Oryzias latipes: one gene and its partner. The protein of the gene in region 1 interacts with the protein of each later gene in a biochemical or structural test. Links are inferred from orthologs where the notes say so. Each region holds a gene or a part of one and is shown on either strand. Other genes may lie near its edges.

Region 1 (11,263 bases):
GAGGAACCGGTTGAAGCAGAAAACGGCTTTTCCCAGTCTGGTTAAGCTTGTTCTTTCTTCCTGTTAAAAGTCCATCTTCTTTCTTTTCAGGGTTTGTTCGTTAGACTGGTGGAAGTTTGTTTAACTGTAAACTATCTGAATAAAATTAGACACCGAACGTTCACTTGTAGTAAATTGTAAAACATTTTGTTCTCTTTTACTCAGATATTTGCTCAAAATGATTTCTTTTCAGGCAGAGTAATAAACATTTAGGCCTTACTCAGAGGATGTTCTTTTAATTTATTTTTTTAATTTAGCTGAAAAGTACCAATGTTATGCCATCCTGCCTTAATTTGCATTTGAGAATTTGCGCAGCATGCGCCAGCAGAAGGACGCATGTCTTTCCTTCACTGAAGCAATGGATGCCAAGCAGATACGGTGTGTGCCACATGTGTGTGCTTTAACACACATGTGGAGGGGATGATCAGGAAAGCATACAAAAAAATTAAAATAAATAAAATCACCTTTCTTGCTTTAGTCTCCAAATATGAAAAGTAAAAAGTAAAATAAAAAAAGGACAGATAGGATTTAATTCGGTTAACTTAAAGTTTTTGACTGAAAGGCAAAATATAAATTATCTTTAGAAAAAGAGAAAAAAAGTAGATATTCATTTTATGGAAATGTCACATTCTATTGTTCTAGATCATAAATTCAGTATAAAAAAGTGCAGTAATGTCAAAGTCTCTTTAAACTTGGGTTAAAACAGGTCGATCAGCACTTTAAATGAATTCTTTTCATAAAATTTCCACCTTTGTTTATTTTCAATGAGGAAATGTGTGAGAACTAACTTCCTTTAACAACCTTATTTACTTTTGGATGGAAATACATTAAAATAAGGAATTCACGCTGAAGCATACATTAAATTAAAGCTGCATGGATTCAGTACTTTGACAGTAATATCCAGCCTTACTGGGAGAGTTGTATTTTTTTTTTCCTTTCCAAAAATACACATAAAAAAGTAAAATCAAAGAGGCAGCTGCATTTCAACACAAGTGTAAAGTTTTCAAGACCATAAGTGAAAGCTGACTCTGCTAAGACAGAAGTCATGAATTTTAGTGGATGTCTAATCTAAGACATCATCACAGGTTGGGGTTTCTATCAAAGGTATGTCTGCACATTAAGGCACTTTAATAGACTAATGAAGATCAGAAAATAAAAACTATCCAGAAACCTGCACAACCACCATTTCTACTCAGACTCCCAGAGGAAAATCTAGTTTCTAATTTTCTTCATTTGGGTTTTTCTTGCTTCTGTCAGTGACCAGACTCTGTGGTAACTGTTGGATAGCAGATAGTGATTTTAAATCAGCTAAATCTGCCTGAAATGTTGAGGGAATGGAGCATGAAAGTTCGAGGTATAAATAAACAAATAAAAAACCAGCCACAGACCAAACATCATCCGTCCGTCTGCTCTGAGGAAAAACTTCAGTAAATCAGGAGTTATATGAACTTAAAAATATTCAGAAAACCCACAAATGAGAGAAAGCAGAGAGTGTTACGGTTAGTGTGTGGGCCAACCATTCAGTCCAGAAGGCCCCACTGTGGGACACATCAGAGAATGAATCAAGCTTGTTCAAACGTGTTGGTCATCCACAAACACCCCCACCTGACCTCCCCCACCTGACGTTCTAAACAGGAAGTACTCAGTCATTCTATTTGTCAGAATAACTATTCTTATCTGATATATTTTTTTTAAATGTTCTAGCTAATCCTTTTTTTCTTTATTACAATTTATTTAAGTTATACACTTACCAATCAGACTTCAATAAAAGTGTGTGGTCTCACGTTGAAAGTGATTGACAGTTTGTCCTGACTTTGACTGCTTACTGACGGCGTCTGGCTCCAACGTATCGAAATAAAACGGCGACTGAATTGAATTAATGATTGGAGCTGAAAGTTGACCGTTTTCTATTGGTGATGTCACATGCACTCTGTCCAGTTCTCATGTCCAGTCAGTGGTCTGACAACAACAGGTCAACAAAACTGATTAGTATGATGACAAAGACTATGAGTCTGACTCAGGGAAAACACTGCTGTAATACAGTGCAGATCCCACATGGGAGTCAAAAGTCCAAAACACGCGTTTTTATACCGCATGATAGGAATTAGAAAATGGATAAGACGCTTCCTCTGCTGACTCTAAAGAGCCCTCACTGGAAAATTAAAACGCCCCAAATAAGCCAAGCACAGGAGCAATCAAAGGTCAAAGCACAAAGCAAAAGGTTAAGAGGTCACAGAAGACAGGACATCTAGAAGCAGCTGCTGCCCTTCTGTTGGTTTCGTAGATGAGTTCATTTCCCATTTTTGGCATTTCCACACTGAGCGCAGTCATTTCACTTTCTATTAAATAAAAGTCGCTGGGTCATAGACTCCAGTAAAAAGGCGGGCCACTAAATAGTCCAAGAAAAGCAAAATCCACCAACAAGCGGGTCACAGAGACCCCTACTTCCTTTGCCAAGCTGAAATAACCAGAACACCCAAACACACACAGAGGTACGTTACTCACCCGTCGGACGATCTTATCACCCTGCAAAACCACAACAATGCAAACCGGTTCTCTTCACTGGGGTTTACAATTTAGCACTGATCTATGTTGATGGGCTAACTCGTTTCATGCTAACAGAACACATATAGCTTGTTCCGTCTGTACTACGGTGCCTTACCTGGGACAGGATGTTGGTGCACTGCTGCAGCAGGGACACGGGAGGTTTGCCCAGGCTGGTAGCGAGCTGAACTCGAAGCAACTGTTCCTTCTGAGTGAGGTTGTCCTGGAGAGCATGGGCCAGGGCCACGGCAGCACACCAGTTAGACAGGGAGTCTGCTGAGAACAGACCTCCACACAGGAGCTGACCAGCAGAGATAGAATTGGCTAAAGAGGAAAAGAATAGAGCCGGTTAAAAAAATAATTGCATTTAAAGGCTTTGAGAAACAGATTGAAACGAACCATCGATGGTTGAGGGAAGTAGTGTAGCCACGATCTCCCCCTGACCCTTCTGGTTTTTGTAGAGGAAACACTGGAAACAGTAAAGAACTGCACAACGAAGCACAAACGGCTGCCTCTCATTCACCATGGACATGAGCAGCACCACGATGGCTGGTCTGCAAACACAAACAACAGAGATCAAACATCCAGCCAACTCTAACGTGCATTGCCAGCTTTTTGGGGGAGAAAACTAAACTTTCATTACCGTGGAGGGCTTGAAGGGGCGTTGACTGAGGCAAAGTAGTCCTGGTTGATCTGTGAGCCTCTGATCACCTCCGAAACTGTGTTTATAGTCTGGAAAGGAGCAGTCGAAGGAACATTTTTGTCAGCGTTTCTGCCGTAACCTTCCTGTGGTGGGTCAGCGTCCGTACTCTCTGTGGTTACCTCTGTTAGGATATCGGCGGGCACACCGGTGGCCATGAGGATGGTGCACAGCTGTTGCAACAAGCCACACTGGAACATGCACTTCTGACAGCTCGCTGTAGCTCCAGGGGAGTTCACTGGAGACACCATCACTCGCACCAGCTGGAAATTATAAGCTTGTTAAGACTCTAAATCTTACTATTAGTCATCTTTGACATGGATTCTGTGAACGACCCACTCCACTCATCTTTTGATCCATTTTAAAAGCATTCCCAGTGATCTTTTAACCCTGGAATTGTGTTCAGGTTTGAACATTTTGACAAGAACACAATAAAGGTTAAATGTGGTTAAGCTTTTTCAAACCTTTTTCCCCATCACTTGATTAACAACGATTTGAATAAAATACTAAACAATATTTTGAGCTTAAAACTCTTAATATGTTCTCCAACATGATAAAAATGCCACAAAAACACGATAAAAAGACCAGAATTATTTGTGACGTAGAAAATACACTTTTTGATACAGCAGTAATGTTGGGCTGGGGTTGTGAGGGGCTGTTAGCTAGCAGGAGAGCATGTAAACTGAGAGTTCTCAATTATGGGCAAAGGGAAGTGGGGAGGGCGTTGCTTGCTGCATGCCTATAGCTCACCTGTGAATTTCTATTAAACTCCTGCTGCTCTGCAGAAACTAGATCATAGAAAGGTTTCCTTTTCTTAAAAAATGGCATAGTTCTAATTAAAGACCACTGGGAACACTTTTAAACGAGAACGCTGCTTTGGCTACCTGCAGCATGAGGTGGAGGTTAGTGACCTTCTGTGCGGACCAGCCAGAGTTATCATCCCCAACCTCAAACCAGGGCTTCATTCTCTGGATGTAAGAGCCCTCCTTAAAGAAGTTCTGGTTAGAGCTGTTGTTCTTTAGCAGGTTGAGCAGCAACAACAAACAATCCTCCACCACAATACCTGCAGCAGAGGAAAGAGGAGGGGGGAATGAGTACACACACAAAAAAGAGGGTTTTAGCAGTTCTGCACACACGACTCTGTTCACCTCCATCGCTGCTGCCCTCCTCCGTGATGATATCTAGGAGGCGTTCAAAGGCGTTCTCAAAAGCCACGATTTTCTGAATGGCTGCGTTGCCTCTGGTTAGCTGCTGGAGCAGCAGTAAGCCCTGTAGGAAGCAGACAACATGACTCATAAGTCCCACCAATATTTCACGATGGGTAATGAAATGGAAGACAGAAGCGCTCACATCATTGCGAATTACTTCTCTGGAGTCTGCTAACAGGTCCATCAATCTGGAAACACCTGTGGCGGAAAATCTAGTGTTTATATTTTAATTTAAGGAAATAAATAGAAATAAAGATTGTAGCCAGTTAGACTGAGTGAACTAGAAGATACTCACCCATGGGGCTGACGAGAATGATGCCTTGCACTTGGGCGCCTTGACTCTTCAAAAGAGCCGTCAGCAACTTCACCGCAGGCCAACGCACGTGGAAGTCAAACTCCTGAAACCCCCCCGCCGACAGTTACACTCTACGCATCGGAAGCAATCTGTCTGCGATGGTTGGAGAACAGGGCCGTACCTCCAGAAGGGTGAGGAGCAGCGTGATTCGCTCAGGATCCTGAAGGAACTTCTCTGTAAACAGGGCGCAGAGGTCGTCTGTCTGCTTCTGGGTATTCTCATCTGAGGAAAACATGGAAAACTTGAGCAGCTAAGTCTGTGGACTACCGTCCCAGTGGATGCTGCTATGGTAGAAGAATGTTTGGTCATGGGATCCCCAGCACTGAGTTTGGATCAGCAGTCAGTTATTTTTTTTGTTGCATTAACAGGGATGAAAAGCAGTGGAACCTTTTCAAAGACAGTAGTTCCATTTCCTGTTTCTAGATTTAATCATGAGATTATGATGCTCGTTAACTTATAATCTCTTTTGAAATCGTAGCGTGTTATTCCAATCAGCTCCAGATCCTTTTCCTCTGCTTTTGTCTTGCTTTTCACTGCACTTTTAACCAGCATTAGTCTTGATTTTCCATCATCACGTGACATCGTGTCTGTTTTTGTGGAGATTTGGAGAAACTTTTGGGGGAAGGGGTTATATTTTACAACACAAAACGTGAACAAACAGCAATAATAATAATCAGACAGCTTTGTGGTATTAGTAAAGCATTGCCAGTACCACCCATTGACTGTATGTGAGAACTGAACAGAGGGAGTGAGACATCACCCATAGCAAATGGTTTACTTCAAGCTCCAACAAAACAGTCAATTTAGTCACCAAATTCCTTCACTGCCCACTACATAGTGCATTATATTGTGCATTTGTAATTTTGTAGGGTTGTCCAAATTTACAATGACAAAATCAAGTGCCCTAGAAATTTCCCAGAAGTCTCTGCGAAAAACCAGTGTGCATCAATGCTCACCAGATTGGCGAATATAGACCACAATGCATTGCATCTGAACAATTGTTGCCAAAAAAATGTATTTAAATGTATTTTTAATAAACCATCAAAGTTTTTAACTTCAGAAGACAGTGAATTCATACAACGTTCACATTAGTGAGATTTTAACTTCATGAAATCGATTACGTTATATTTATTCTTCAATAGATGTCTATGGGATTTTGGCTTCTTGGAGCCAGCGGGTACCTGGAGCCACCTGGTCACTCAGTCCAGTTCCTTTATACAGTCAATGGCACCACCCCCAAACCCCTTGGTGTCGCTTTACAGTACAGCAATATTATTTGTGGTTAGTCATTGTGCAGTAGAGCAGCAACAGCACAACAGTTCATCAATAAACAGGCACACCTTTAAGTCTCCATGAGGCGAGTAGAAGAGTTGTTGGGTTTGCAAGAAATCAATAAATAAAATTAATCGTCTACTCGTCTCAAGTCACACAGAAGTTCAAAGGTTTTTGAGTAAAAATGCCCCCAACTAATGTCGGCCACTGCAGGGGCACCAATGTGCATGGATGAACGGCGTGGTTAAAGAGGCTGGCATCATGCATAATCCAAAAGATTTACCTTCTGATTCATCTGTGGGGTTAAAACATGAAAGAGAAGAGAAACAGGAAAATCTTTATACAACACATTCAATACTAGTGGAAGTAATTAAAAAAGGAAGGAACGCAGACCGAAGGCTCACAAACTGATACAAACGTCCAGCTTTGTGCTCATGCAAACGCAACACTGTTCAGTAAAGCTGCGTTTAATAAAAACAAATCAATTTCCCTTCAGAAAATCAATATTTGTTTCCAAATACAATTAGTTTTGAATCAAAATTTGAAATATAAATCAATATGAAATCAAGTTGTGAACTTATCAAAACCGATTAAATAATACTGAATTAGTATATTGCTAGTGGTGGCTCTCTATTAAGTACAATGAACTTGAATTTCGGGAATCCAAAAGGATTGCTATAGAGTTATTGTTATTATAGACATAAAAATTAATCTAATCGTACCAGGACAAAATAAAAACACCAAAACCTTATAGGTTGTGTACCTTGTTCTTCTTCCTCATCATTGCAGATGATGTTGTAGAGTGTGTCCAAAGAATAGCCAAGGATTTCAGAGTCAGATCTGGAGCATTTGGGGAAAAATTAAAATATTTTCAAAAAATGAAAATATCTTTTTTTTTTTCAGCCCGACTTCTATTTTACAGGTCAATTGTCGTTTATTGATCTATAATGTGAGAAAAAGGGCTTCAATCTAGAAACAAGGAGATACCTGTCAGTCTGCAATATGGTAACCAGGTGATCCATGGCCTGTGTGCCAACTTCCATGCGGTATTTCTACAAAAAAAAGAAAAAATGGATTCCTCAATAATGGATTTTGTTTCTGCAACTTTAGAAAAAACAACTTAAGTCTACAAGAAAAAATGCTTTCAGAGTCCAATGAAATGTATGATTTAATAAAGAATATTTACTAAAATTATTGATCAAGGCTTATAAATGTTTTTCTTGAGTTTAGTTCTTATTTATTTATTTATTTTTACAAATAAACTGCTTCACAGTAAGAAATAAAAAAAAAAGGTTGAAGGTCAAAGGTTAAATTCAGAGATTTTATCTGAAAAACTAAGAACATTTAACACACTAGACCTACATCCTTTGACGTTTGGTACAGTATGATTTTATTATAATATGCCTTTTAACACTTTCCGTATATTAATTTTTCTTTAAGCTAGTGAGGAAAATAAAATTCAACAAGTTACCTGTAAATTCCTCTATGACACCTTCATTTTTCTGTATGATTTATACATAAATAAATAAAATCCATCCTTTTTTCATTCCATAGGAATCAAGTTGCCAATTCTGAGCCCAACTTAGAACCAGCTCATGCTAGAAGAATACCTGAGGAGCATCAAATCCTTAATGGTGTCATACAAAGATGCAGATGTGTTATAAGATGGTCAGCATTAAAGCAAGCATCTTAAAGTGGTGGCGGCCAATTTAAAAATAAAATCTGTTCTTATTTAAGACAAAAAAAACAATAATTCAGCTCTCTCATAGATAAGACATTGAAGCCTTAATGTAAGCACAAACACAAAGATTTCCTACATTCCCTACCTAAATGTACATCTGCAGAGTTTGTGTTAATTCTATACCTTAGAAAGGGATTTGAGGGCCCGGACAGCGTCCCTTCGGTCCTCCAGGAGTGTTGAGGAAGCAACCCTGTCACACAACTTCTGGATCTGTTAACAAACAAGAAGACAAACGTTTTTTTCCAGAACACATTTTTAATTTCTTAATCAAAATAATCTAAATTTTGTGTCATACTTTTTATTTACATATCTATATTTTCCCCACAACTATAAAACACCCAAAATTAGTGTTGAAGGGCTGTTATAAAAGGCTTGATGCTAAAAAAACAAACAAAAAAAACCAAAAAGATTAGTCCTGTAGCATGGCACATTATTAATAATGAATACAAAGGTTAATTTGATCACATTTAAATACAAAAAAATGTTTTATTTACAGATAACTTCACCACTCAAAGATATCATTAAAAATTGAAAGGAAGTCAACAGAAAGACAAATTTAAGCAAACCATAATTTAATCCCCATCAGGAAATTAAGATTGAACCGTTTTTCTACATTCTACTGGGGTGAAGTCACAGATGTAAAGGAGTTCATTAAAAAAAACTAGCACACGAAAGTGTGTTTTTATTTCTTGTAATCTAAATAACCACTAGAGACACCAAATTAACAAAATGCTTCAACTTACATTAAAGTTCGATCTGTATTTATTGTTAACTGTCGTGAATTATAGTAAAATGTGTTTTATTATAAATGCAAGAATAAGTGTTTTATGACTACTAAAAATAACGGACAAAATACTTCGTTCGACGACTATTGCTAGGTTAGCTTGTGATAGCCTTACATTTAAGGGCTTTTTAAATCAACCGATTCCATGTTACTTATCTTTTAAAATGCGCCCCAATAACATAAATTTATCATTTTTCTTTTCTATACATGTCTTCGTTTTTTTTGTGGATCATAGCGGCAAAAATTCAAGTCAGATGTAGCTAGCATTGCTAGATTCCTACCGTCTCAGCTCCGGTGGGTTGCGGCCCGGCAGCCTGCCCTCCCATCACTCCCCTGAGAAAGTTCATATTGACAGGCGTCTTCTCAGAGAAGACTTCCAACCAGACGGTTTGTTTTGTTGAAGAAGAGACTCCGACCACTGTCTCAGTGGCACAAGTAAAAAATGTATAAAAATAGAAGAAAGACAGAGAGAGTGTGAAGAGTTACACTATGGGGCACTATGTACAGCTACCAACCCCGGATGTGAGATGGACGCGCATGCGCACTAACTAGACCATACGTGGCTCACCCGCACGAGTGATCAGTTTTCTTAAAGGGCCAGAGCACTAAATCTTTCTGCCACGTGAACTGCAGAGGTCGCTGTGAGAATAAATCCAAACTTCAATAAATCCAGCACTATAATCCATTATGTTCATGACCAAATAAACTATTATATGATATTGAATTTATTATATTAAGAAAATACGTATTATTTGCCCATTTTTTAGTTTTTGTACAAAATCAACATGTAAAATCTATTAAAAGGACCGAAAAACCTGATTATATATAAATTTAAAAAACCAATGTAATGCTTGAGACAAATAATTACTGTCTGGTTGAATTAAAAAAAATGCAACTCCATTTCAATTTGCTATGTGATCTAAAAGCAGAAAGGGAGGAAAACATGTTTGTGAGACATCATAATGACAAGTAAAACTCTTTAAAATACTTGTTGAAAGTGATTTTTTTTTTACAAGTTGGTGACAATATTAAAAGATAAAACATTTTTAGGCATTGGAAACAAGTAATAGGATGATCAGATAGAGTGCTATGACTTCAAATGAGTTTTATAAACTTATTTTTTGGTCTCAAAAAAATGATTTCATAAAAAGATTATTGCTTTAAAACTGAGTTTTGAAAAAAATAAACAACCAGTTTAGATAATCTAAAAATCTTCCTGGTATTTTTTTTTTAAGAAAGCTATAAGGACATGTGATATGCTGGAGAATACATGCACAAAAAATAGAAAAGTAAGCCAGAACATTGCAGATGAACAGCACAATTCAAAACAGCAGGTGATTATTCCAACAACCCAGATTTGTGAATAACCCAAACACAAAAGAAACACACTACAAAATAGAAAATCCAAGATTGAACACAGTAATAGACATAGTGATGAAGTCTAAAGTTTAATAAGGCAAATGGGACAGAGAAATAGACCACTTTTTTTTTGACAGGTGCAGTAATCTGCTGCTTGACATTATGGTCCTTTTAACCAGTAAATCCGTCAGATGCATGTAAGATTTGCATAAACAAGAACGATATCAACCATCAGTGATTGTATTGTATTTGAAAGTTAAATATTATCTGTCAGTTTACAGTGAGTGCTGACTCTCAAAAGTGTGCATCACAATTTACAAACTGTAAAAATCAATCCGAAGACAATACCTCAGAGAAGAACAAAGTCCAAAAAAGAGAAAGAAAAGTTTAAGCTATCGCTCTTTTCATAATAATGATAATGTAAAAGGCATGGCAGGGGGGGAAGCATGTTTTTACCAAAATACATCAGTGTTTCATGAAGAAATGGTTGGCCTGTGAAAGAAGAGCTCAATTTCTCACTGAAGATGAGAAACCCTTAAAATAGCAACTTTTTTCTTCAAAATTTACATTCACTTTGTAAAATAAGAAGCAATTATTTGTTAAAAAAAAAAGATTGTCTGGTAGGGGTCTTTTCCTCCAAAACATTTTTGCTTTTTTTTTTAAGGCTCCGCTTAGAAAATTCCCAGCAAACACGACTCATCAGCTGAGCTGTGCTGTTATCAGTAGTTTATTGTATGTTAAGTCCAACACATTCAGAATGTAAAACCAAAAATATAATATAAATTGAGAAAAAACAAAAGGGAGAATTCTCCACCTGCAACAGTTTTGTACCAGCAACAATTTGAAAGAGTAAAACACAGAAAAATGAAATCAGCTGTTTTACTACACCTTCTTCAAAAAAAAAAAAGCTTTTATTTCCATTCAGAAAAAGGCTGGAATGATTTAAATCCACATTTTTAAAATGAATAATTTACAACTTTCTTCAATCCTTTTTTGAGGAATCTTTACAGTTTAGGAAAGGGCAAATTCTTCTAATGCCAGTTGGCTCTTCTTCAGCACTCTCCGACAGACTTCCATGTCAAGCTAGCACATTTTGAAAAATAAACGGGGCTTACAGGTAAGCTCATTTGATCCCACATCTGCTCATCTCTTCCAGCGAACGGGGTGTAAAACAGTCAAACTGAGCGCTAAAATTTCCATGTTCGATCGAAAAATGTTTTATTCACACAGATTGTCCAAAAAAAAAAAAAAAGAACTTTGG
Region 2 (11,824 bases), on another chromosome or scaffold:
ACTAAAATCAAAGCAGTACAATCAGCACTACTGATGACCTTTTATACATTTATTACCAATGGTCTGACTATTTCAGACAAAATATTTATTACATTTAGTGCAGCCAACAAATAAAAACTTACAAATAGTGAGCTTCTCCAGTTTGGCAAAAGTGTTGCTCAAGTCTTTCCCAATTCTCCTGCAAGAACAAACAGAAACGCTGTGTTTTTTACTGAAGTTGTAACAAAGTTTTCTTTCTCTCCAAAAGTTAAGGGACCAACTAATTATAATTAACTAGATACATTATAAACATTTAATTCATTTTACATATAAAATGACAATCAAGTTATTCTATTCAGCTGCCCACATCTCAGAGGCAAATTTCTAATAAACTACTGCCGCACTGCAGAAACTATGTCTTAGAAAACAATGCATCATAATTAAAAAACCACTGGAAACGCTTTTACAAGAGATCAAAACATGATTGGAGAGGGACTTTAAGGCTGACTTGATAAAACAAAAGAAGGCGGAGATCCAAAAATAAGCTCCAATGCAACTACCAAGCCTTAATATTGAAATTATCTGTGGATTTGAACATTGCATAGTCAAACATAAGCAAAGGATACATTTTTAAATGCCTAAATCTCCTTTTTGAACATTTTGAATTTCTGCTGTTCAAACAGTACGTTAATATGATTTATTGTCGCTCAGAATTTTTACTGTTAGTATAGCTGTGAGGACAAATGTCCAACTTCTTAAAACAACTACACATCACTGTAAAAGTCTTTTTTTTTAAATAAATAATATATAACTGTAAAAAAAAGACAACATATTGTCCAACGGTTACAGATATTAAACATCAACATTAAATACTATTCATGTAAAGGAATTTATGAGCTTTTGTATCAAACAAGGAAAGCAAACAATGAGGTTCCTACTTTGCCATCACTGTGAAGTCACTGCGCTGCCTCAGGGCGGCAAGAGCTGGTTTACTGGGCTGGACTCCATTCTGATGAGAGAAGACGATAATTTAAAAAATGTACAACTTTAAAAAAAACCACAAAGACACTAAGCATAAAAACTTGCACCATCACACAGATATATGTGATATGACTTAGTGATATTTCATTGGGCTGATAGAAGTTTGGGATCAATGTCAAACTAAGTATTATTTTATGTGCGTCATTGATCAAGAGATTGATTTAATGGACCAATATCAGTCAGTTCAGCCCAAAACAAAAATAAAAACAAGGAACAGAAAGAAACAAAATAGAAAACAAAACTAAAAGTAATCAGATCCAGCCTTCAAAGAACACAAATATGAAAAGAATGGGTAGTATTGTGGCGTTTAGACCCTTTACCTTCATTTAAAATAAAATGATTGTGTTCGTGTAGTGAGTGGTCTGTGTTTATAACATACTTGTCTGCCTTGCAGAGATTTACAGGCGGACTGGAACTCCAGGGTCCGATCGCGGCACGTCATCTTGCCGTCAGAGGATTATAAACCCGCTTTTGAAGCAGAAAATACCTGAAACGACGCCCGAACCCTCAGCCTGAAGCCTGTACGGTAAACAGAAGGATCTCCCGATGTGGGAACAAGCTCACATCCAAGGCGGACAATCCTTCATGAACAAAGGCCCACGCATTTCTACAAAAAACAAGAGAATTGTTGGCATCATCAGCAAACAAACAGTGCTTACAAAAAACCACCGGTTTGAACAGAAGGTACCGTTAGCATCCACTACGATTAACATTCGATAATGTAAAACACAAAACTATTATCACAATAATTTACACATATGTATCACCACACTAGTTAAATACTAATATCATTAGGTAACGATGGTTATCTCAAGCCAGTAAAGACGTCCACAGCTGTTCACGGCCCAACCGGCTAACTACATGCTACGGTTAGCTAGCTGAATCTGCTAACCCTCTTTTGCTTCACTTATCTCTTACGTAACATGTTATAATTCGATCAAAACTAACCGCGCGACGTTAATTTATGTTCAAAAAACAAAAAACGATCAGCTCCAACTTACTTGAGTAGGTATTAAACCATTTTTGGTGAGCCCGCTATGTTTTTCCAGAAAAGAACTACTCAACCCCGGAGTTAAAGTTCCGATGCTAGTCGTTTCCGGAATTGACGTCAATGCCACGTCTGCTTTACCTACGCACGAAAACAAAACTGCAGTAGTACACAGGAAACGCCAGATGGAGCCATAACTCATGCTTACGTAGATAAGAACTGACAACAAAAAAGGTTTATTAATTATTAATTAATTAATTATTAATTAATAATCATGGGTTTCAAATTAATACTTTAAGAGATTATCCCAATCCTGTCTGTGATTCTTAAAATCGTTCAGTCACACTTGGAGATCTGTTTGATTTCAAAATAATTCAAATCATGTTAAAAAAATAATAATAAACAATTACCAAAGAGCATCCACAGGCTCTTCCATTTAAGAGACAATAAATAAGGTCTTAGATTATCATATATGTTTATGAAACTAGCTGTGAGAACAAAGGCTAACATTCACTATACATCCACAAGAGGGGTTCAAATATAAAATAGCTGCAGGGAAGATATTTAAAATTGTTAAAATTAAAAATTTAAAAGAAATTGTAGACAGTGATTTAAGAAATAGATATAAAGGACTCAACAATATTCATTCATTTATTGTTGGTTTTGGTGTTTATTTTATTTTTTTGTCCTTTTTTTAACCACAACTGTTTCTTTTCAATGTTTGTGTTTATTTTTTCTAATTCTGCAAAAATTCAAGTTTGGACTGAATTGAAACAAGGTGCTTGCACTCAATAAGTTATCAAACTCCATTCAAAGTCCTTTTCAAATATTGCATGTAGTCATTTATTGTAATATTTGATGTTTTTATTTTATCAATTCAAAAGAAACAAATAATATTGTGATCCCTTACTTAACTCCTACTTAACTACTTTTAAATGACTGATTATCATATCTTCAGAAGTAGAACATGATAGGGTGAAGTGAAAATGTACTTCAAAATATTGAGAGAACAGTTGATTTAACCTAATGATTAACATAAATATAATATAATATAATATAATATAATATAATATAATATAATATAATATAATATAATATAATATAATATAATATAATATAATATAATACAATATTAAATAGATCATTTTTGGCTAAATTAAAGCACAGGAGGAACTATTTGAAGCTTGACCCTCTTCTTTAGATAGCTTAGTACATCAAAAAGAAAATATAACACGTCTACCATGAAATAAAAATAACAGATCAAATCTCAGAAAGCTAAAACAATAGTTTCTAGAGTAATAAAGACCAAAAGTCACGTTAGAAATCTTGATGTCACAATAGATTTAGACTTGTTAGCCTCACATTAGGGCTAAATCATCCTTTTATCATCACAATCTAACAGGGAAACTCAGAGATCTAATGTCTAGCCTAGATTTAGAGAAGGTGATTCATGCTTTTATCTCCTGCAGGCTGGACTGAAGCAAATGTCTTCTGTCTGCTCTACCAGTTTAATATAGAATTGATTTTAAAGTGCTAAGTCAAGTTTATGAATCATTTTAAGATGCGGGACTTGTTGGGTCTACTTGTGGTTTACAAACCGAGCATGTGTAGGATTTGCAGGAAGTAACACGCTGGCAGAATCCAAACTGGATGAAGCTCCTTTAAGCTATTCTGAAGCTCACTGATGGAACCAACTAGGGATGGGTATGGTTAAGGTTTTAACGGTACTACTACTCTTATCGATACTGCTTATCGATCCGGTATTTTAACGGTACACTTATCGATACTTTTTGAGGACGAAAAATAAATAAATAACAAATTAAGAACATAAAGTGTTTTATTTCCTCATTATGCAACAACACTGTTTTTTTTTTACAAAAGATTTTACTTTATACATGAGAATGTTCCAGACAGGATATTTATTTAATTATTTAATCTAATTATTTTTATTCTTTATGAGCGTGATGTTTCCTTTGATCTTTTGTCCATTTTCCACAACCTTGAATAGACTTTTCTGTCTGTCAAACACCAGAGTTAGGATTGAGTGAGATGATGGAAACAAATTCACTTTGATACAGACTCCTTTCTATTTATTTATTTTTGTTTAAATCCAGTAAACCCAATAATTTATATTAATTTTACGGATGACAACTATCATTAGTCATTAATTATTATTAAGTATTAGGAAGTATTTTGCATGTTAATACTATGTTCAATAAAGTTGAAAAAAAATAAGTTTTAGGAAGCAGCTGATAGTTTGTCACGGGTCTGGAATCATAAGCGGTGAATTTAAGCCCCGCCTCTCTACCTGTTTGTTTTGTGTAGATCACGCCGCCCCAGCGTGTTCTACACAGACAGCGCAACATACGGTCATCGTAGCAGCAAGGTGACAGCATGGTAGGGGCTCCTTGATGCAAACTTCATTAATTTTACGCAGAAACGGGTGTTCTTAGTCTAGGGCGCTCACGTGTCCCCTACGAGATCGCCACTGACTGTGTGTGCGCTGCCTTGTCTTGTGTGTGTGTGTGCGCGCGCGGCGCGTGCTGTCTGAAAAACAGCCCCGCCCCCGCTTCAACGAGAATACCAAAATTAATATCATAATTAATTAACGGAAAATTGACTGACTTGGTGAGTTAAATATGGCAGATAACACTTGTGGGACACAAAAAAGAAAAGAAAAAGTAACTTCTCCAGTACCGATAGCAGAACCGTTCAGGTCAGATCTTAACGATACTGCGGTCTTGAACAATGTGGCCCCGGGGCTGGTTCAGTACCGGGGCACGGTACCCATCCCTAGAACCAACCTCCTGGTGAACTCAGATGTTAACCAACTGTTTCTTGATTGAAGTTCCAGTTTAAACATAGTTTTTTTTTTTTTACTTTGCTGTATGTAGCTAAAACAATTTTATTTCTGCAAAGCATTTTTAATTTCCCTTGTTTGCATAAAACGATATGCAAATGAAATTGCCTTGCTTTACATGTGTTGTATAAGGCCTAAGTCATGTTTTTGTGGCATTTTTCTAATGCTGAAGAACATATCAAAAGAAAATTCTGCTTAAAATCGCATTTTTGAGTACTTCTTAATTCAAATGTGAACCAGGAGGTGATGAAAACATACCACTGGAAAAAGCTTGTAGTTGTGCTACAATCAGCAGGCCACAAGCTTCCAGCTCTGGTCCATTCTGATGCGTCCACTTGCAGATAACTATATACAAGTGCGTCTTTGGCTTCCTCAACTGAGCTGACATCTGGCTCTGCAGAAACCATGTTCCAGAAAACAACGTTGGTTTTTTTGGGGGCTAAAAACGGCATAATCATAATTAAAATACCACTGGGAACCCTTTTACAATAGATCAAAAGATGATTGGAGTGGGACTTTAAAAGTGCAGAAAATGTAAACAACACAAAGAACCAAGTTATAAAAACATTCATTATCTTAATGGATCAAAATTATTTTGGTCCTCTCCTTGGTATTCTTCAGACATGACTTGAAGTTCAACACGTGTTCTCAAATACATGTTATGACATGTTTGTGATTTCTATATACTTTTTAGGCCTTTAAAATAGCATTAAAATAAACAATAAAACATATAAATAAAACAATAAAAAATAATAGGGACCCAGTTCACTTTACTTATTTCGAGTTAAGAAAGCATTGAGTTAAGGGACACGTTTCAAACGTTATGTTTATCCATTTCTTTGTAACGGTCCAATAAGTAGTGGGGCCTAAACACAAGCTTTGTTTTTGTATTTTTTCTAAGACGTTTATAAAAAAATAGGTGTCATATTTATTACTAATACGTTGGTGGTGCTGGCGTAGTTGTTGCCATTCTCATCTCACAGGGAGAAGGCTCTGGGTCAAAACCCTGCTGCACCTTTTTGTGTGGAGTGTGCATGTTCTCCTCGTTTATGCGTAGGTTTCTTCTGATTTCTTCCCACAGTTTAAAGTCATGCTTCGTAGGTCAATTGGTGGTTATTAATAGTCCCTTGGGTGTGAACGTTTGTAGTTGTTTGTCTCCGTGTTGCCCTGCTATGGACTGGAAAACTGTCCAGGATGTACTCTACCTTCCCTCCTCAGTGGTTGGGTAGACGATGGCATTGAACAGGAATAAGTGGATTTAGAGACTAATTGGCTATATTTGGTAATTTTAGTAATCTCAGCAATTTCTGAGATGCATCCTGGCAGTAGAATGTGTGTATAAGTTTTACATATTAAATGAAGTTCCAATAAGTATGTCAAGGATGCATTTACAAAAAGTTGTAAATATGACTTCATGTTTTTGTTCTTATGCCCTTTCAAACAAAATGTCTTTCTAATTGGCAAAACACTGATAATGAAATAAAAATAAGAAATATAAAAGCAAACCTCATGTACCAATGACATGAAATTTTATAATTGAAAGACCCATTTTGAATCTTTCCCAGCAAAAAGACAGAACAGACATTTGGACAAGGACAGGATGGGCTGCTTCCTCAGGTGATTCAACACTCAGGTACAGCATGGAAAGAGAAAGATACGATCTTGCTGCTCTCTGATGTTCTCAACCTCCTGCTGGTACCTGCATCCTTTTTCTGACAGGCCCAAGCATGCTCAGACCACAAGTATGCCTCCAGCCCCAGATCCCCAGCCTTCCACCCGTCTGAACCCTGTACCGTCGTACCTTCCCTTATCCGTTCCATCATATGTCACACCTTTCTTTAAACCACTCAGAAAATCTCCCTTTGTGTGCTTTTTGGATTGTTTTATGGTATTAAATAGTATATATGTCAATAATATGTCAGAAAAAATGATTGAGCCTAACTTTTATATCAGTATTCGTCCAATAATTATATAGTAGTCAGTTGTGCTTCACATTAAAGACCCACTCCAATAAAAATCCTGATTTGGGTGTTTTTAACATGTTCTTGTGGCGTTTTTTTGACATCTATGAAGAAAATTAAGATCAAAACTGCATTTCTGAGTGTTTCTTTATTCAAATCGTTATGAATCAGGAGCAGATAAAACAAATGCTGTTGGAAAAAGCTTGAAGCAGTGACATAGGTGCTACAATTGGCAGGCCACAAGCTCTGAGCTCCTCTCTATTCTGATGCATCCACTTGTAGACGACTAGATCTATTTCCGCCTTCATTTTCCTTGTATGAGCTGAGATCTGGCTCAAAACTGTACGGCAGGATAGTTTCGATATTGCTCGCCATTTTTGTTGCATCTGTAATGTTAGGTTGGGGTTCTGAGGGGCTGTAGGCTAGTGGGAGAGAGTGTAAACAAAGGGATGATGTCAGGGCAGGCTTACTTCATGCCAACAGTCCTGCCAAAAGCTCAGAGGTGAATTTTAGTGAACTCCTTGTCATGGGGCCTCTGTCAGCTATCTTCCCCCTCCCCTCTCTGCTTGGCCACTGATTCGTCCCAGCTGCGTTCACTCATCTCATCAACCTGCCAGACCTACTTAAGGAGCGCCAGGACCAGAATTCAACGCTAGTTCGTTGCCCCTGATGGTGCTTGTCTGGTCTCTTTCAAGTTTTCCTGTTACGTATCTTTACCCTCGTCTAAACTCTAGTCTTTCTATGTCCAGGACCTACATATCCCACGAGTGGACGCCAGCTTCAGCTTCAGCCCAAGCGGAGTTATCCCCGGAGTTACCTACCTCCTCTCAACGCTCCATACATCAGGCCTCAGCTCTGGCCTCAGCCGAACCTCCAGCCACGTCAAGATCCACCCTCTCATCTGGAGTTGCCGTTCCTGCCATTCCCCGCCACAACAGGACAAATTCATCCGCTGGAAAAATTAAATCTATTATTTACCTTCACTCACCTCCTGTCTTCCTTCTGGGTTTCAGCGTCTGGGTCTGTCTAGCTTTGACAAGTCATGACAGAACGAACAACTAGCCAAAACCCCGACCCAGCTGGCCCGGAAGATTTACAAAATATTGTCTCCCAACAAGGTCGGTTCCTGGAACTCCTCTCCAGTGCGGTCACCCGCGTCACTACAGTCCAAGAGGACACGATCTCTCGCATCAGAGGTATGAACCAAACGCTTTCCGAGCTAACCGAGCGACATGCTAACCCTGCTATAGGAGCTTCTACTCCGTCTTCCGGCAACAATGCAGCTTCCGCTTCCGGTCCTGTCAACTCACCCGAAAACTTCCGGTTACAGCCTGAACCGTTCCTAGGCAACGTAGAAGCCTGTGGCGGGTTCTTACTTCAATGCCAACTCATATTCCAGCAGGCTCCCAGGCATTATCACTCTGATATCAGTAAAATCACCCTTATAATAAATTTTCTCCGGAAGAAAGCTCTTCGGTGGGCTCAAGCCTTTGTTTCTGCTAACCCTATTAGTCACCTTCGCTATGAACACTTCCTAAACGAATTCCGTTTGATTTTTGACCAACCCCGTAAACGGGAAGAAGCCACACGTAAATTACTTAACCTGAAACAACACAACCGGACTGTTAGTGAGCACGTCATTGACTCCGCATTCTGGCGGTCGAAGCAGGCTGGCCAGATCTGGCTTTAAAGGGCATTTTTTATCAATCTTTGAATGAAGAAATTAAAGACCATCTCTGTACTCAGCCTGAAACTAACTCCTTTGAAGAGCTCGTTTCAGCAGCCCTCCGCTCGGACATCCGACTCACCGAGCGACGTCATGATCGCCAACAGACCCCGAAGAAAACCATCAGCGATCCGGCCCCTTCTACCATCACAGCCCAGTCGCCCCTCAGAATGGATTTTCTCGCAAGCTCCAAACCATCTGAGGGACCTATACAGAGATCATTCTAAACTATCTGCAGAAGAACGACAGAGGCGAAAAGAGGAGGGTTCATGTTTTTATTGTGGAGCCCATGGACATTTAGTTTCACAGTGCACTCTGCGTTTAAATTCCCAAAACCCCCCGCTGAGTGACAGGTCACGGGGGGGCAACCTCAGCACTCAGGAAAATCAAAGCTTCCTGTGCATTCCTGTCAGAATATGCTGTAAAACCCAAACTCATGCTTTCAGGGCACTTATAGATTCTGGAGCCGAACAGAGCCTAATTGATCATGGTCTGGTGTCTAAACTCGGTCTTCCCACAGAACCTCTGGAAGCTCCTGTAGAGGCCTCGGGCTTAGGAGGGCAGCACCTCTCCAGAATTACGCATAGAACCAAACCTGTTCAACTTCTCACCTCTGGCAACCACAGGGAAGTTATGCAATTTTTCATTACCCAGTCCACTCATACGCCCATAGTACTAGGCTACTCCTGGTTAAAGTTGCATAACCCACAATTTAATTGGAGTTTAGGACACATAACTAACTGGAGCCCCTATTGTTCTGCTAATTGTCTCTCGTCCGCCTTACCTTCGGCTCATCATCACACCACTGACTCTCCCAGTAACATTAATCTGGATAAGATCCCCTCCTGTTACCATGACCTACGTGATGTTTTTTGCAAATCTAAGGCAAGCGCCCTTCCTCCCCATCGCCCCTACGATTGCAAAATCAATTTACTACCGGGTGCTACCTTACCAAAGGGCCGCATTTTCAACCTCTCTGGGCCTGAGAAACTTTCCATGGAAAGTTATATCCAGGAGGCGCTATCCCTGGGTCACATTCGTCCCTCATCATCCCCTGTTGGGGCAGGTTTCTTTTTTGTCGAAAAGCCCCTGCATAGATTACCGGGAACTCAATCAAATTACAGTAAAGGACAAATATTCTCTGCCCTTAATCTCCTCTGTTTTCGACTCCGTCCAGGAAGCCCACGTCTTCACAAAACTGGATCTCCGTAATGCCTATCACCTTGTCCGTGTCAAAGAGGGGGATGAATGGAAGACTGCCTTCAATACCCCCCTGGGGCATTATGAATATCTAGTTATGCCCTTTGGGTTGACTAATGCCCCAGCAGTATTTCAGAGGTTAGTCAACGACGTTCTTAGAGATTTTCTAAATCGCTTTGTTTTTGTATATCTTGATGACATCCTCATTTACTCAAACAATCTTACCCAGCATGAACAACACGTCCGTCAAGTCCTCACCCGTCTCTTATTGAACCAGCTGTATGTTAAGGCAGAGAAATGCGAATTCCATGTCAAGTCTGTTCAGTTCTTAGGTTACATCATTGAGGCAGGTCGTATAAAACCCGATCCCTCCAAGATCGAGGCTGTTTCCGCCTGGGAACCCCCTACCAATCCGAAGAAACTGCAACAATTTCTGGGCTTTGCTAATTTCTATAGACGTTTTATCCGCAACTACAGTAGCATTGCTGCCCCGCTCACTCGCCTCACTTCCACCCATCAAAACTTTCAATGGACCCAAGAAGCCCAACAGGCCTTTGACCATCTCAAGAAACTGTTTGTCACAGCCCCCATTCTCATTCAGCCAGATCCCTCACGCCAGTTTATCGTGGAGGTCGACGCCTCGGATTCCGGGGTCGGCGCTGTTCTTTCCCAGAAGGAACTCACGTCTGGAAAGCTCAAACCCTGTGCTTTCTTTTCAAAGAAATTGTCGGCTGCAGAACAAAATTACGACGTGGGGAATCGTGAACTGCTGGCAATAAAATTGGCCCTGGAGGAGTGGCGGCACTGGCTGGAGGGGGCTGAGCATCCCTTTATTGTCTGGACAGACCATAAAAACCTCGCTTACCTTAGAACCGCCAAGAGACTCAACTCTCGTCAGGCCCGGTGGTGTCTGTTTTTTGACAGGTTCCGCTTCACAATCACCTACCGTCCTGGAACCCGGAACATCAAACCAGACGCATTGTCCCGCAAGTACAGTACCACGGAAAACTCGATCACCACCACCATAGTCCCCTCCACGTGCATAATCGGCGCACTCACCTGGGATATCGAAAATCGGGTGCTCCAAGCTCAAGGTGAGGAACCCAATCATGCCCCCTGTCCTAACGGAACCCTTTATGTACCCACCTCCCTCAGGGCAGATGTCATCTCCTGGGGGCATACCTCACGGCTGTCCTGCCATGGCGGCGTCCAGCGCACTCTCCATCTCCTCCGTAGAAGGTTCTTTTGGCCTTCAATGGATAAGGACGTCTGTGAATATGTGGCAGCGTGTACCACATGTGCCCGCTCCAAGTCCTCTAACTCTGCCCCAGCCGGATTGTTACAACCATTACTCACCCCCAGTCGTCCTTGGTCGCACATCGCCTTGGATTTTGTCACCGGGTTGCCTCCATCTCAGGGTAACACTGTCATACTCACCATCATTGACCGTTTCTCTAAGATGGTTCATTTCATTCCTCTAGCCCAGTTACCCTCCGCCACAGAAACCACCCAGGTCCTGGTTGACCGGGTATTCCGTCACCATGGCATCCCCTTGGACATTGTCTCGGACCGTGGTCCCCAGTTTGTCTCTCAAGTCTGGAAAACCTTTTGCTCCGCCCTGGGGGCCACGGTCAGCCTCACCTCCGGCTATCATCCCCAGTCCAACGGTCAAGCAGAGAGGGCCAACCAGGAACTGGAGGCAGCCTTGCGCTGTCTGGCGGCACAAAACAACGAGGACTGGTCCCAGTACTTAGTATGGATTGAGTATGCCCACAATACTCACGCATCTTCCGCTACTGGGGTGTCACCATTCGAAGCCGCGCTCGGGTACTCACCACCTTTGTTTCCGTCCCAGGAACTCGATTTGGCGGTGCCCTCTGTCCAGCAACATCTCCAGCGTTGCCAACAGGTCTGGCGCCAAACCACAGAGGCTCTCCTCCGCACCAAGGAGAGCAACTGTCGCATCGCCAATCGCCACAGGGTGGTGGGACCCGTTTACCAGCCCGGCCAACAGGTATGGCTCTCTGCCCGCAACATCCCGATTCAGGCCTCCTCCCGGAAACTGGCTC

What was found.
Region 2: the proteins of uso1 (region 1) and stx5 form a complex in vitro, tested with the Homo sapiens proteins (2 studies listed by BioGRID). The link is inferred for Oryzias latipes from reciprocal best matches to the Homo sapiens genes USO1 and STX5.

What each region holds. Positions count from the first base shown.
Region 1 is NC_019859.2:16,827,763-16,839,025, reverse strand, and holds the start of uso1 (general vesicular transport factor p115), read right to left. Parts: upstream 9,161-11,263; 5' UTR 8,991-9,160; coding exon 8,925-8,990; intron 8,070-8,924; coding exon 7,983-8,069; intron 7,171-7,982; coding exon 7,106-7,170; intron 6,959-7,105; coding exon 6,882-6,958; intron 6,414-6,881; coding exon 6,402-6,413; intron 5,069-6,401; coding exon 4,968-5,068; intron 4,890-4,967; coding exon 4,787-4,889; intron 4,690-4,786; coding exon 4,634-4,689; intron 4,553-4,633; coding exon 4,432-4,552; intron 4,347-4,431; coding exon 4,168-4,346; intron 3,547-4,167; coding exon 3,406-3,546; intron 3,316-3,405; coding exon 3,227-3,315; intron 3,138-3,226; coding exon 2,983-3,137; intron 2,908-2,982; coding exon 2,702-2,907; intron 2,566-2,701; coding exon 2,545-2,565; intron 1-2,544. UniProt on the Homo sapiens protein: General vesicular transport factor required for intercisternal transport in the Golgi stack; it is required for transcytotic fusion and/or subsequent binding of the vesicles to the target membrane.
Region 2 is NC_019868.2:11,880,947-11,892,770, reverse strand, and holds the start of stx5 (syntaxin-5), read right to left. Parts: upstream 7,670-11,824; 5' UTR 7,651-7,669; intron 2,155-7,650; exon of another isoform or gene 2,022-2,154; intron 1,628-2,021; 5' UTR 1,463-1,627; coding exon 1,400-1,462; intron 989-1,399; coding exon 918-988; intron 179-917; coding exon 123-178; intron 2-122; coding exon 1-1. UniProt on the Homo sapiens protein: Mediates endoplasmic reticulum to Golgi transport.